4 linked regions of the Saccharomyces cerevisiae S288C genome follow. The protein of the gene in region 4 interacts with the protein of the main gene of each other region in a biochemical or structural test. Each region holds a gene or a part of one and is shown on either strand. Other genes may lie near its edges. The genes, in order: COX17, HYR1, CYC7 and MIA40.

Region 1 (3,037 bases), on a different chromosome or scaffold from region 4:
GGCGGTGACGGCTGCAGTCGGCGACGATGGCTTCTTTTTTTCATTATCGTTCGTGCTTATCCCAGATTTACCGGTGGATCGTTCAGTGGAACTGAAAGTAGCGGCTGAATTTGTCTTAGAAGGAGGAGAGTTTGTCTGATGTACGCCACGGGTTCGGCTTTTCGTGTTGGAATGTTTAACGCTTCTGTTTTTATTGAGAGAACTGCTCTGTTGTTGGCGATAAGCAGAATTGGAATTGGATTGTGTCGTCTCGGAAGAGCAGCACAGTATTGACGATATGAAACCCATACTGTTTTGCTACTTATTGTTGTTAAAGCTTACGAACACGAATGTAGGCAAATAAAAAGCTTGGATAAACGCACAATGAAAGGGGAAGTGCGATTGATTATGCTATAAGGAATGACACGAAGAGAGCAGACTATAGGCTAGGCAGGCGATAAAGGAAGGAGTTGTACTTGACGACAACGTAATAAAGAGTTCAATGAAAGAGTATTGTGAGCAGTATGGTTCAACGAGCACTTCTTCTCGACACCTATTTCTATACTTTTTCACTTAATATACACTAACTAATCCCAGACTTTTTTTTTTTTCCGTTCTTTCCAGAAAAAAAAGAAACAAAGCAAGCGTGCCCTGACTTAGGGTTTCCTAAAAAAGTTATTAGGTTTGTGTCACGTGATACGTCCTTTTCTGGTCACGTGGTCTTAGAACACTCTTAAGGGGCCAAGCACAAGAGGACAGTGCTAGCAGTAGAAGTGGTGTAGTAGTGATGAGGTAATGTTAATTGTGCATCGCACATATTTACAGGTAGTATATACTATAGTTTGTGAATACCTATTCTTATATATACAAGAAATGGTTGTCGGCAGACTGTCAGTAAGACTAATTTGCACTTGGAACTTCGAAGCCATAACCCTTCATGCACTCTTTGTACTTTTCAATGAATTCCTTGCATTTTTCAGAGTCTTGTCCATTGAATAAGATGCATGTATCCCGCTCCTCCTTTTCTGGCTTACAAACGCAACATGGCTTAGGTTTGTCCTCGCACTCCGCGTGGTTTTCTTGTTCTTGTTTCTTGTCAGTTTCAGTCATTGGGTATAATTGATTGTGTAGTTATCTGATTGTGTACACTAAAATTTTGTTTAGTTGTACTAGAGACAAGTAGTTAGGTGGTTACTAGATTCTGATTCGCCGCTATATATCGTCATTTTATCTTTTTTTGAAGGAGATAGGTAGGGTTATAACATTATCCGGGTAATGATTTGAAAAAAAATTTTCAAAAAATGCGATGAGATGAGGTTGAAAATTGTAAGTTAGAATATGCTTAGATAGTATGAGTATTTACGTTGGTAACTTGGGTTTCGAATTGGAGCTGTGTGCCTACAACAGCGTCTTATATATATACTATGGTGGTAGGAACTAAAAAATACTCTAATTTGGACTTTGTCCCTACAATCAGTGACAGTGAAGACGATGTTCCAATTCTAGATTCTTCTGATGACGAAAAAGTCGAGGCTAAGAAGACTACGAAGAAGCGGAAGGGTAAGAATAACAAGAAAAAGGTTAGTGAGGGGGATAACCTCGATGAGGATGTTCATGAGGACTTGGACGCGGGGTTTAAGTTTGATTTGGACGCCGATGATACCACTTCGAACTTCCAAGGCTGGAACTTTCTAGCAGAGGGCGAGTCCAATAAGGACGATGCCGAAGCTTTTGTGAAGAAGGACGTTGACTTGGATAAGATTATTAGAAGAAAAGGTGGGCTGGTGAAAATGGCCCATATTGATAGTAAACAAGAAGAAGAAACCGAGAAAGAAAAAGTAGAAAAAGAAAACGATAGCGACGATGAGGAATTAGCAATGGACGGGTTCGGTATGGGAGCTCCCATGAACAATGGAGACGAAAATCAGTCAGAAGAAGAAGAAGAAGAGGAGGAAAAGGAAGAGGAAGAGGAGGAAGAGGAGGAACAAGAAGAGATGACGTTAGAAAAAGGCGGCAAAGATGACGAAATAGATGAAGAAGACGATTCTGAAGAGGCAAAAGCCGATTTCTATGCGCCTGAAACTGAGGGAGATGAAGCTAAAAAGCAAATGTACGAAAATTTCAACAGTTTGTCTTTATCTCGTCCGGTTCTTAAGGGCCTTGCAAGTTTGGGTTACGTCAAGCCTTCCCCTATTCAAAGCGCCACAATCCCCATTGCCTTATTGGGTAAAGACATCATTGCCGGTGCTGTGACTGGTTCCGGTAAGACTGCTGCGTTTATGATTCCCATAATCGAGCGTTTGTTGTATAAACCAGCCAAAATCGCTTCCACCAGAGTTATTGTTCTATTGCCCACTCGTGAGTTAGCTATCCAAGTCGCTGACGTTGGTAAACAAATTGCACGTTTCGTCTCCGGTATAACCTTTGGTCTGGCCGTTGGTGGTTTGAACTTGAGACAACAAGAACAAATGTTGAAATCTCGTCCGGACATCGTCATTGCTACCCCAGGTAGATTCATTGATCATATCAGGAACTCAGCAAGTTTTAATGTGGACTCAGTAGAGATTCTGGTTATGGATGAAGCCGATAGAATGTTAGAAGAAGGTTTTCAAGATGAACTGAACGAAATTATGGGCCTATTACCAAGCAATAGACAGAACCTATTGTTTTCTGCTACAATGAACTCCAAAATTAAAAGTTTAGTTAGTCTTTCTCTAAAAAAACCAGTAAGGATTATGATTGATCCTCCAAAGAAAGCTGCTACTAAGTTGACACAAGAATTCGTTCGTATTCGTAAAAGAGACCATTTGAAGCCTGCCTTGTTATTTAATTTGATTAGGAAATTGGATCCAACGGGTCAAAAGAGGATTGTCGTTTTTGTGGCTAGAAAAGAAACTGCTCATAGGTTAAGGATTATCATGGGTCTTTTAGGTATGAGTGTGGGTGAATTACACGGTTCTTTAACCCAAGAACAGCGTTTAGATTCCGTTAATAAATTCAAAAATTTGGAAGTTCCTGTACTTATCTGTACGGATTTGGCCTCCAGAGGTCTTGATAT
Region 2 (3,211 bases), on a different chromosome or scaffold from region 4:
ATACTTGCCGAGTCCGGTTTCATCTTCCAATATGTCTTGCAGCATTTTGATCATTCACACGTTTTAATGAGCGAAGATGCTGATATTGCAGACCAGATTAACTATTATCTGTTTTATGTAGAAGGTTCCTTGCAACCACCTTTAATGATTGAGTTCATTCTTTCAAAGGTGAAGGATTCTGGTATGCCCTTCCCTATTTCGTACTTGGCAAGAAAAGTGGCAGACAAGATCAGTCAGGCATACTCTAGTGGTGAAGTTAAGAACCAGTTCGACTTTGTGGAGGGTGAAATTTCCAAAAATAACGGCTACCTGGTTGATGGGAAGTTGAGCGGTGCCGATATCTTGATGTCTTTCCCTTTGCAGATGGCGTTTGAAAGAAAGTTTGCCGCACCAGAGGATTATCCTGCCATTTCCAAATGGTTAAAGACCATAACCTCAGAGGAGTCGTATGCTGCTTCTAAGGAAAAGGCGCGTGCTTTAGGTAGCAATTTCTAAACCGTTTTGTTGCGTTCGTACGGCACTAGCAGCCGCGTAATTCGTTCACACACTTCAATACATATGTATGTATACGTATATAGTCTGTTGCGACACATAATAATTGACAGGTTTGACTAGCGAGTATGTATTATCAGGAAATATAAAAGAAAACTAAGCTTTACCTAACTTCAAAAGAAGAAGACCTGCCTATTCCACCTCTTTCAAAAGTTCTTCGATGGTTTCGGACAACGAAGAAGGTTTGGTTAGTGAAGAGTATCTTTCGTACACTTTACCCTTTTTATCGACTAAGAATTTTTCAAAATTCCATTTGATACCTCTCAAGCCCAACATACCGGATTTTTGGCTCTTCAAAAACTTGTAAACAGGGTCCTCATTGCCACCATTAACGTCAATTTTTTTCATAATGGGGAAAGTCACGCCATAGTTCAGTTGGCAGAACTGGGCAATTTCTTCATCAGAGCCAGGTTCTTGGTGGCCAAACTGGTTGCATGGGAACCCGATGATGGTAAATCCTTCGTCCTTATAACGTTTGTACAAGGCCTCTAGTTCTTTGTATTGAGGAGTGAATCCACATTTGGAGGCAACATTAACGATAAGCACCACTTTTCCCTTTAATTGGTCGAAGGGGAATGGTTGGCCTTTCTTGTCAACAGGTGCTAGCTTATAGAATTCTGACATGATAAACTTGAATACTTTACGAGATGACAGCTTGGAAGAGAGAGACGTGGAAAGCTCTGATGCTGTTTTTATTACTATTGCTTTTCCGATATTAAGGGAGCATACTGTTCCTCATGGTTTTTTCCCTCTTTTTTTCACTTTTTGACCTTTTTCGTAAAGTGGCTAAAAACGATAATGCAGAAAAAGAAGAAGGAATACAGGAAATAAGGGCTGTCGCGAACAGCAACAAGAGAAACAACTTATAATCTGTCAAAGAAGGGATATGGGCAAGGTTATTTTGATTACAGGTGCCTCCCGTGGGATTGGCCTGCAATTGGTGAAAACTGTTATCGAAGAGGACGATGAATGCATCGTCTACGGCGTAGCAAGAACGGAAGCTGGTCTGCAGTCTTTGCAAAGAGAATACGGTGCAGACAAATTTGTCTATCGTGTCCTCGACATCACGGACAGGTCTCGAATGGAAGCGTTGGTGGAGGAAATCCGGCAAAAGCATGGAAAACTGGACGGTATTGTCGCAAATGCGGGGATGCTAGAACCGGTGAAGTCCATCTCCCAGTCCAACTCCGAACACGACATCAAGCAGTGGGAACGGCTGTTCGATGTGAACTTTTTCAGCATTGTCTCTTTGGTGGCACTGTGTTTACCCCTCTTGAAGAGCTCGCCATTTGTAGGCAACATTGTCTTCGTCAGCTCTGGAGCCAGTGTGAAACCATATAACGGATGGTCGGCGTACGGCTGCTCGAAAGCCGCATTAAACCACTTTGCCATGGACATTGCCAGTGAAGAGCCCAGTGATAAAGTGCGTGCCGTGTGTATTGCACCGGGCGTCGTTGACACGCAGATGCAGAAAGATATTAGGGAAACATTGGGTCCTCAGGGCATGACACCCAAGGCTCTCGAGAGGTTTACTCAATTGTACAAGACTTCGTCACTGCTGGACCCAAAGGTGCCTGCGGCGGTACTAGCGCAACTCGTCCTGAAAGGTATTCCCGACTCTTTGAACGGTCAATATCTCCGCTACAACGATGAGCGACTGGGGCCGGTGCAGGGCTAGTACTAAACTATATTATGTAAAAGGGTATAGTTATAGTTTTTAGCTACTAAACTTTTATTGGGTTTGCGATGAGCGACAGTTTTGTGCGGCCATTTCTGTGCCAAGAACCGGATTGAATGTATCACCGAAGGAATTCCGCGGTGTTTTCAAAGAAATGAAGAGAAGACAGTATGAACATTAACTTTTGCATATATATACGTAAACGAAAAAGATCAAGTGCAATGGAAGAATATTGTACCTAAAAAAAAGGGTCTAACTACAGCGTGTAACAGGTTAAAAAAACATGGGTAAAGTTATTTTAGTTACAGGTGTTTCCAGAGGTATCGGTAAGTCCATCGTGGATGTTCTTTTCAGTTTGGACAAGGACACGGTTGTTTACGGTGTAGCCAGGTCTGAGGCACCCTTGAAGAAGTTGAAAGAGAAGTATGGCGACAGGTTTTTTTACGTTGTCGGTGATATTACCGAGGATTCCGTGTTGAAGCAGTTGGTTAACGCTGCTGTTAAGGGCCACGGCAAGATCGACTCCTTGGTTGCCAACGCTGGTGTCCTAGAGCCCGTGCAAAATGTCAACGAGATTGATGTCAACGCTTGGAAGAAGCTGTATGACATCAACTTCTTCAGCATTGTTTCCTTGGTTGGCATTGCGTTACCTGAATTGAAGAAGACCAACGGTAACGTGGTATTCGTCAGTTCGGACGCCTGTAACATGTACTTCAGCAGTTGGGGAGCTTACGGTTCTTCAAAAGCCGCTCTGAACCACTTCGCCATGACTCTGGCCAACGAGGAAAGGCAAGTGAAAGCCATTGCCGTCGCCCCAGGTATTGTGGACACAGATATGCAAGTTAACATTAGGGAGAACGTGGGGCCTTCCTCCATGAGTGCAGAGCAATTGAAGATGTTTAGAGGTTTAAAGGAGAATAACCAGTTGCTGGATAGCTCTGTGCCAGCTACAGTTTATGCCAAATTGGCCCTTCATGGTAT
Region 3 (3,153 bases), on a different chromosome or scaffold from region 4:
TGAAGACGACTTATTTGCACAAGCTGCCCAAGGCGGTAATGCTTCATCCGGTGCGCTTGGCACAACTGGAGGAGCTACAGATGCTGCGCAAGGTGGACCTCCAGGTTCCATTGGCCTCACTGTAGAAGATTTACTATCGTTGAGACAGGTCGTTTCAGGTAACCCAGAAGCTTTAGCCCCATTGTTGGAAAACATAAGTGCTAGATATCCTCAATTACGTGAACATATCATGGCAAACCCAGAAGTGTTTGTGTCCATGTTGCTAGAAGCCGTGGGTGACAATATGCAAGATGTTATGGAAGGTGCGGATGATATGGTGGAAGGAGAGGATATAGAAGTTACAGGAGAGGCTGCTGCTGCAGGACTGGGACAAGGTGAAGGTGAAGGTTCTTTCCAAGTTGACTATACCCCCGAAGACGATCAAGCTATTTCGCGCCTCTGTGAATTGGGCTTTGAAAGAGATCTTGTTATCCAGGTGTATTTTGCGTGCGATAAAAACGAAGAAGCTGCAGCAAATATTCTATTCAGCGATCATGCCGACTGAGATTGTAGTAATGTTATGGCTTGAAGTATCTTCACTTATTCTCGACAATGTTGCATGATTTTTGAGCCAAGGGAAAAAAAAAGCTTACGTAGAAATCAATAACGTATGTGTATTTATATATGCTAGAAGGGAAAGAAAAGAAAACAGAGAGATGGTAATATTAATCTCAATAATAATAATAATAATAATAATAACAATAATAATAATAATAACAACAACAAATAATGATTATACTGCTTTTAGCGCATATATACAGTTTTGTTAAAGAGTTTCAAAATTCTTGTATACCTGGTACTTTTGCCCATCGGGGACAGGTGCATTACCAGGTCGGGAAGCTAACCCAGTAGCTATTCCAACGCCGGCCGCTGCGTCCAATTCCAATGGATTATCGCTCAAGAACAGTACCTCGCTAGCCTTCGCACCGATATCCCGCAAGATGTTGGCGTAAGACTGTGTTTCGGTTTTCTTTCCAGAAGTGTTGATGTCGAAATAACCATCTATATAAGAATTCAAATCCAACGAATCATGCGCAGGCGCGTTGGGATCCTGAACATACCCGAACAGCAATTTCTGTGCCTTTACAGATCCACTAGAGTAGATAAACACACGCTTCTTCCTCTTGATAAAGTCAATAGCATCTGCATAAACGGGCGCCTTAATCTGCCCAGATTCGTATCCGTGAGCCCAGACGTAGCCTTGCAACTGTTTCAAGATTGGATCCTTCACATCCTTGGCCACCAACTCCAAAATATGCGCCTGCAACTGCTCCTTATTGTCGATGTGAAACTGCGACAGAATGTTGGAAACCGGGGAGTCCCTTGTATCCTGTTGAACCAATTGCGGCACTTTATTCGTGAAATAAGGGAATAAAGTCTCCTTCACGAACGAGATCGGGCACACTGTCCCTTCAATATCAAGCAAGTAAGTCGAGTAATTGTCTCCCATTTTTGGTATACGAGCTAGCAGGACCTTTTGCCCAATGACCATTCCATATTCATCCCACTCACCACCGTCATCGTTGGTATTATTATTATCATTCCGCTTGAAGAAAAAGAAACGAAAAAAGAAATGGATCAGCAGCCGGGTTATAGCGCCCCTTATTGAATTATTTTCCTTCGTGCCTTCTCTGAGAAGGGTCTGCAGTCCCCCGCCGAGGGGTCTTTTCCCACCTTCTCAAAGCTAATAGCGATAATAGCGAGGGCATTTATTCAAGTTCCAACTACTATAAGTGGCCGCAAGGGGCAAAGACAAAGGCACACAACATATATATATATCGTGTTGTGAAGCTCGAGAAGATTAGATCAGAATAGTTCTCTTTTTGTTGAGGTTGAAACAAAATCAAAGACTTATACAAGAAGATCACATACAAGCATTTATTCACATTACTTTAAGTAAACTTCAGTAAACTACATTACATCATAAACAAAACATGGCTAAAGAAAGTACGGGATTCAAACCAGGCTCTGCAAAAAAGGGTGCTACATTGTTTAAAACGAGGTGTCAGCAGTGTCATACAATAGAAGAGGGTGGTCCTAACAAAGTTGGACCTAATTTACATGGTATTTTTGGTAGACATTCAGGTCAGGTAAAGGGTTATTCTTACACAGATGCAAACATCAACAAGAACGTCAAATGGGATGAGGATAGTATGTCCGAGTACTTGACGAACCCAAAGAAATATATTCCTGGTACCAAGATGGCGTTTGCCGGGTTGAAGAAGGAAAAGGACAGAAACGATTTAATTACTTATATGACAAAGGCTGCCAAATAGGCTATGTCGTCGGAGGAGATATTTATTACTTTTATTATTCTAGTTTTTTACAGTTATTTATTAATTAATTATTTTTATATGCATGCGAATAAAAAGTCTATATTTAAGTTCTTTTATTTATTAATACATTTTTTTTTGAGAGTCCTGTGTAGCCTATTTGTTCTTAGATGCAGATCCTCCTATAAGACATAACCTAGGATGACACATAAAACAGTCAAACGCCAGTTTGCCGCTACGTTGGCACCTGCGTTATTACCGCTCATTGAGCTTGTACTGCTGGAGGCGCTTCCGCTTACAGAAGATGTTGTTTGAGTTTGGGAAGTGACGGAAGAGGATACGGAGGATACGACTTTATCTCCGTTCTTAGTAGCAGTAGAGGAAGAAGAAGAAGAAGAAGAAGATGATGATGATGATGATGAAGCGGTGGAACTAGTCTTACTACTCTTCTTAGTTGAACTGCTGTGATCGGATGACGTTTTGGAGGAAGAGGTTGCAGTTGAGGAAGAACTCTTTTGGGTGGAAGATGTGGTAGCTCCCTTATGTGGGTCCAAGCCAGATCCCTCATCACTGTCCATCATGACCTCATCATCGGTAATAGCAATGTCTTTGGCCAAAAATTCACTGGACGAAGTATACACATAAGCAGAAGTACCATTCTTCTTGGTATCGCTTGGTGGATCATAACATGTGATATTAACTTCATTGACAATAGCATAATAATATCCTGGGTTGCTGATATCGGATGCGTCCCAATTAATTTCACCACCAGACCATGCAATGGTTCCTGGAGCGTTGGTAGAATTACCACCTGGCCAAATGGAAATATCCACCTTGGATG
Region 4 (3,795 bases):
GGAATCATGCTGAGCAAGTACTCAAGGAAATCTTGGAAGAATCAGGCAAACCGTGGAAACTGAACCCTGGTGATGGTGCGTTCTATGGTCCAAAGTTGGATATAATGGTTACGGACCATTTACGCAAAACTCATCAAGTCGCTACTATTCAGTTGGACTTTCAGCTACCTGAGAGGTTCGATTTGAAATTCAAGGATCAAGACAACTCGTACAAGAGGCCAATTATGATTCATAGAGCTACTTTTGGTTCTATCGAAAGATTTATGGCTTTACTGATAGATTCTAATGAGGGCCGTTGGCCGTTTTGGTTGAATCCTTACCAAGCTGTAATTATTCCCGTCAATACGAAAAATGTGCAACAGCTAGACATGTGCACTGCCTTGCAGAAAAAACTACGTAATGAACTGGAAGCCGACGACATGGAACCAGTTCCTTTAAATGATTGGCATTTCAATGTTGATCTCGACATAAGAAACGAACCCGTAGGGTATAGGATCAAGTCGGCCATTTTGAAAAACTATTCCTATTTAATTATCGTGGGTGATGAGGAAGTACAGTTACAGAAATACAACATTCGAGAACGTGATAATAGAAAGAGTTTCGAGAAACTTACAATGTCTCAAATTTGGGAAAAATTTATTGAGCTGGAAAAAAACTACAAGTAACTTAAAATATATGACAAACTTGCCCTGTAAATAAAAGGATACGATTTGATGTATAGCTGGATTCATACAGAGACTAGACTCATCCGCCCCACAGATGCATTAATTCATGTATATTTCACATATTATACCATATGTAGTCATTAAACTAAGATAATATTACTGTATTTACATGTATCATCCTTTATACTTTTATACTTTTTACGTTCGGGAGATTTTCAGGAGATTTTAAGGTTTGGATTCCTCATTCAATGGTTCTTTTTTCACATCTGATTGCTCTGCTTTTTTCGCAGCATTTTCCTTTGCGCTTGAAACATTTGGCGCTGATTCTATTGTGTTGACCTTTACTTTGTCTTGAGGTTCCTCATCATCAGATGTTTCCTTTAGTTGTTCTGCATAATGCTCGGGGTATTTTCTGAAACAGTCTTGCATATGTTGAAACTTTTCAACACAGTCGATACCTTTTGGTTCAGCTTCAGAATAGACGAAGCAAGAAAATGCAGATTTGAACTCTTCACCACAGGGTCCATGGGCCATACCTCCCAAGCAAGGACAGTCCCAATTTATCTCACCAGTGTCTGGGTTATAAGCACCTTCGTGTTGAACCTCTTCTTCAGTAGGACCCATTTGCTTTTCCTCTTGTTTTCTTAGTTCTTCTTTCTCTTCATCGCTAGATTCAGATTGCTTAGCTGAATTTTCCGAGTCACTTACAGTTTTTTTTGAGGATTCTTCTTCTCCATTATTATCTTCAGTAGTTGTCTTGTCATCAGATTGTCCCTGTTGCGATTTTTCATCATCTGAATGTTCTGGATCTTTTTTTTCAGAAGATCCAGCATTGTTGTCTAGTGTTTTGTCACTAGTATTTTCTTCCGAGTTCTCAGAACTTATGTTTTCATCCTTTTGATTGTTAGCGGTGGCATTGTCTTCATTGGATTGCTCATCATCTTTGGTTGATACCTTTGATTCATCAGTATCTTTATCTTCGGAAGACTTGTTGTCTTCTTCTGCTAGAACAACCAATTCACCATCTTCAGCTACTTTTGAAGCACCAATTTTATCACCCCCTAATTGAGGGCCAGCTTCAGTTTCATCGTTTTTGCTGTCGTTGTCATCTCCATTTTCATCGCTTTTGCTGTTGTTGTCATCTTCATTTTCTGGTGATTGCTCACCACCACTGGAAAGCTCTTCCTCTGCGGTTTTATCGGATTCTACCTTCCTTGAGGCGAAAAGAGGCTTCCTATTAGGAGCAATAAAATATAAAGCACCAGCCATAGAAAGAATCCCCATTATAAAGCCCGCTGTTTTTTCCTGATTGGAGTTCCTACCGAACTGAGGGGAGGACGCCATGAGACGTCTTGTTTGGTGTCGGCATAACCCCCTTGCCACTTGAATTGACGGCCTGTTTCTGCACGCATTCCTGACGACTAAGTTGCGAAGCATTTTACTGATAATATACACTCTTTGGATCGAGCCTACTTCCAGTTGGTAATTGGTGTTCCACAATTTCAGCATTATATGTTTTTAAACCAAAATTCGGCTCCTTTTCCCTTTTTTTCTTATTGGGTGGCGTGCCGTACAGAACGATTGGCTTGGTGTGAAATCAAGAGCAAGCACAATAGATATCAACATGAACAATATACAAAAGTCTCTGGCACAGTTTGACTGCGTTAGACCAGGCTAGGGCATTTCTGAAGCTTTACGTATCACTAGAGAAGTTATTTTGGCAATGAGAATCTACTACATCGGTGTATTTCGCTCTGGAGGAGAAAAGGCTCTAGAGTTGAGTGAAGTTAAAGACTTGTCACAATTTGGTTTCTTTGAAAGGTCTAGTGTTGGCCAGTTTATGACTTTTTTTGCTGAAACGGTCGCTTCTAGAACTGGTGCAGGACAAAGACAAAGTATAGAAGAAGGCAACTATATTGGCCACGTTTATGCCAGGAGTGAGGGCATATGTGGTGTTTTGATCACCGACAAAGAATATCCTGTCAGACCAGCATACACACTATTAAACAAAATATTGGATGAATATTTAGTCGCACATCCTAAGGAAGAGTGGGCAGATGTGACTGAGACCAATGATGCATTGAAAATGAAGCAACTGGACACTTACATTAGCAAATATCAAGATCCTTCACAGGCTGACGCTATCATGAAAGTTCAACAAGAACTGGATGAGACGAAAATCGTTTTGCACAAAACGATTGAGAATGTTTTACAAAGAGGTGAAAAGTTGGATAATTTGGTGGACAAATCGGAGTCATTAACGGCAAGTTCCAAAATGTTTTATAAGCAAGCTAAAAAATCCAATTCGTGTTGCATCATCATGTAGATGCATCCACACACTATTTTCAGCATAGTGTGGCTTTTCATCTGCTTTATGTAATTTAGAAAGCCAATGACAGCAGCAAGGGAAACAAAAATCTTTTAAATCAAATTAATTGTTTAAATAATATACTATGTAAGCATCGATTCTCCTAACTATTATAACCAAAGGTTGATTTGAAGCCATTGGCATTGTATTAGAATTGATTTGTTTCTTCAGTGTAAAAAAGTTAAAAATAAGCGACCCCAGTGAGGGTTGAACTCACGATCTTGCGATTAACAGTCGCACGCCTTAACCAACTTGGCCATGGAGTCTAATTGCTATATTTTTCTTTTGAAAACAAGATATATAAATAATGCTTGAGCTGGAGCATTTACGTTGTAAATGTATAATTAGTGTAAGAAACCGCTGGGCCCTATTTGTTGATGAAGTATTTACTTAAATGTAACAGAATATACTGGAAGTCCCCCCTCGGGCACATGGAAATTCACTAAAAGGAATTGGTAATGCATATGATATTACTACCGTTTCTCATTTCACTTTATATGCTTTCAGTGATTGTGTTACTACGTGACAGTTCTTACAATTCAGCGCCGTTACTCTCTATGAGTGCTCTCATTATTTATATCATATTCTTACACTTCATACAATTATATATACTCGTACCATGGATATTAGAGGATAGTTGGTTTTTGTTTAAACTAATTCTATGTAACCTCGATGGCATGAGTCCATAATACTGTACTGGCGTATGCCCTTGTTTGTGGTCTTTGTGCAACCATTTCAGGCTTTCTTATTTGCACAGGGCAG

What was found.
Region 1: the proteins of MIA40 (region 4) and COX17 form a complex in vitro, tested with the Saccharomyces cerevisiae proteins (2 studies listed by BioGRID).
Region 2: the proteins of MIA40 (region 4) and HYR1 interact in a test that uses a peptide from one of them, tested with the Saccharomyces cerevisiae proteins (one study listed by BioGRID).
Region 3: of the proteins of MIA40 (region 4) and CYC7, one has a biochemical effect on the other in vitro, tested with the Saccharomyces cerevisiae proteins (one study listed by BioGRID).

What each region holds. Positions count from the first base shown.
Region 1 is NC_001144.5:130,326-133,362, forward strand, and holds COX17 (copper metallochaperone COX17), read right to left. Parts: upstream 1,090-3,037; coding exon 880-1,089; downstream 1-879. Other genes in the region: PSR1 (phosphatase), read right to left, coding at 1-288; DRS1 (putative ATP-dependent RNA helicase), read left to right, coding at 1,404-3,037. UniProt on the Saccharomyces cerevisiae protein: Copper chaperone for cytochrome c oxidase (COX). Binds two copper ions and deliver them to the Cu(A) site of COX.
Region 2 is NC_001141.2:421,093-424,303, reverse strand, and holds HYR1 (peroxiredoxin HYR1), read right to left. Parts: upstream 1,177-3,211; coding exon 685-1,176; downstream 1-684. Other genes in the region: GTT1 (bifunctional glutathione transferase/peroxidase), read left to right, coding at 1-495; sepiapterin reductase family protein IRC24, read left to right, coding at 1,439-2,230; NRE1 (sepiapterin reductase family protein), read left to right, coding at 2,514-3,211. UniProt on the Saccharomyces cerevisiae protein: Involved in oxidative stress response and redox homeostasis. Functions as a sensor and transducer of hydroperoxide stress.
Region 3 is NC_001137.3:78,798-81,950, reverse strand, and holds CYC7 (cytochrome c), read left to right. Parts: upstream 1-1,973; coding exon 1,974-2,315; downstream 2,316-3,153. Other genes in the region: RAD23 (Rad23p), read left to right, coding at 1-544; putative acireductone synthase UTR4, read right to left, coding at 806-1,489; chitin transglycosylase UTR2, read right to left, coding at 2,495-3,153. UniProt on the Saccharomyces cerevisiae protein: Electron carrier protein. The oxidized form of the cytochrome c heme group can accept an electron from the heme group of the cytochrome c1 subunit of ubiquinol-cytochrome c oxidoreductase.
Region 4 is NC_001143.9:74,128-77,922, reverse strand, and holds MIA40 (Mia40p), read right to left. Parts: upstream 2,103-3,795; coding exon 891-2,102; downstream 1-890. Other genes in the region: threonine--tRNA ligase MST1, read left to right, coding at 1-665; palmitoyltransferase YKT6, read left to right, coding at 2,389-2,991. UniProt on the Saccharomyces cerevisiae protein: Required for the import and folding of small cysteine-containing proteins (small Tim) in the mitochondrial intermembrane space (IMS). Forms a redox cycle with ERV1 that involves a disulfide relay system.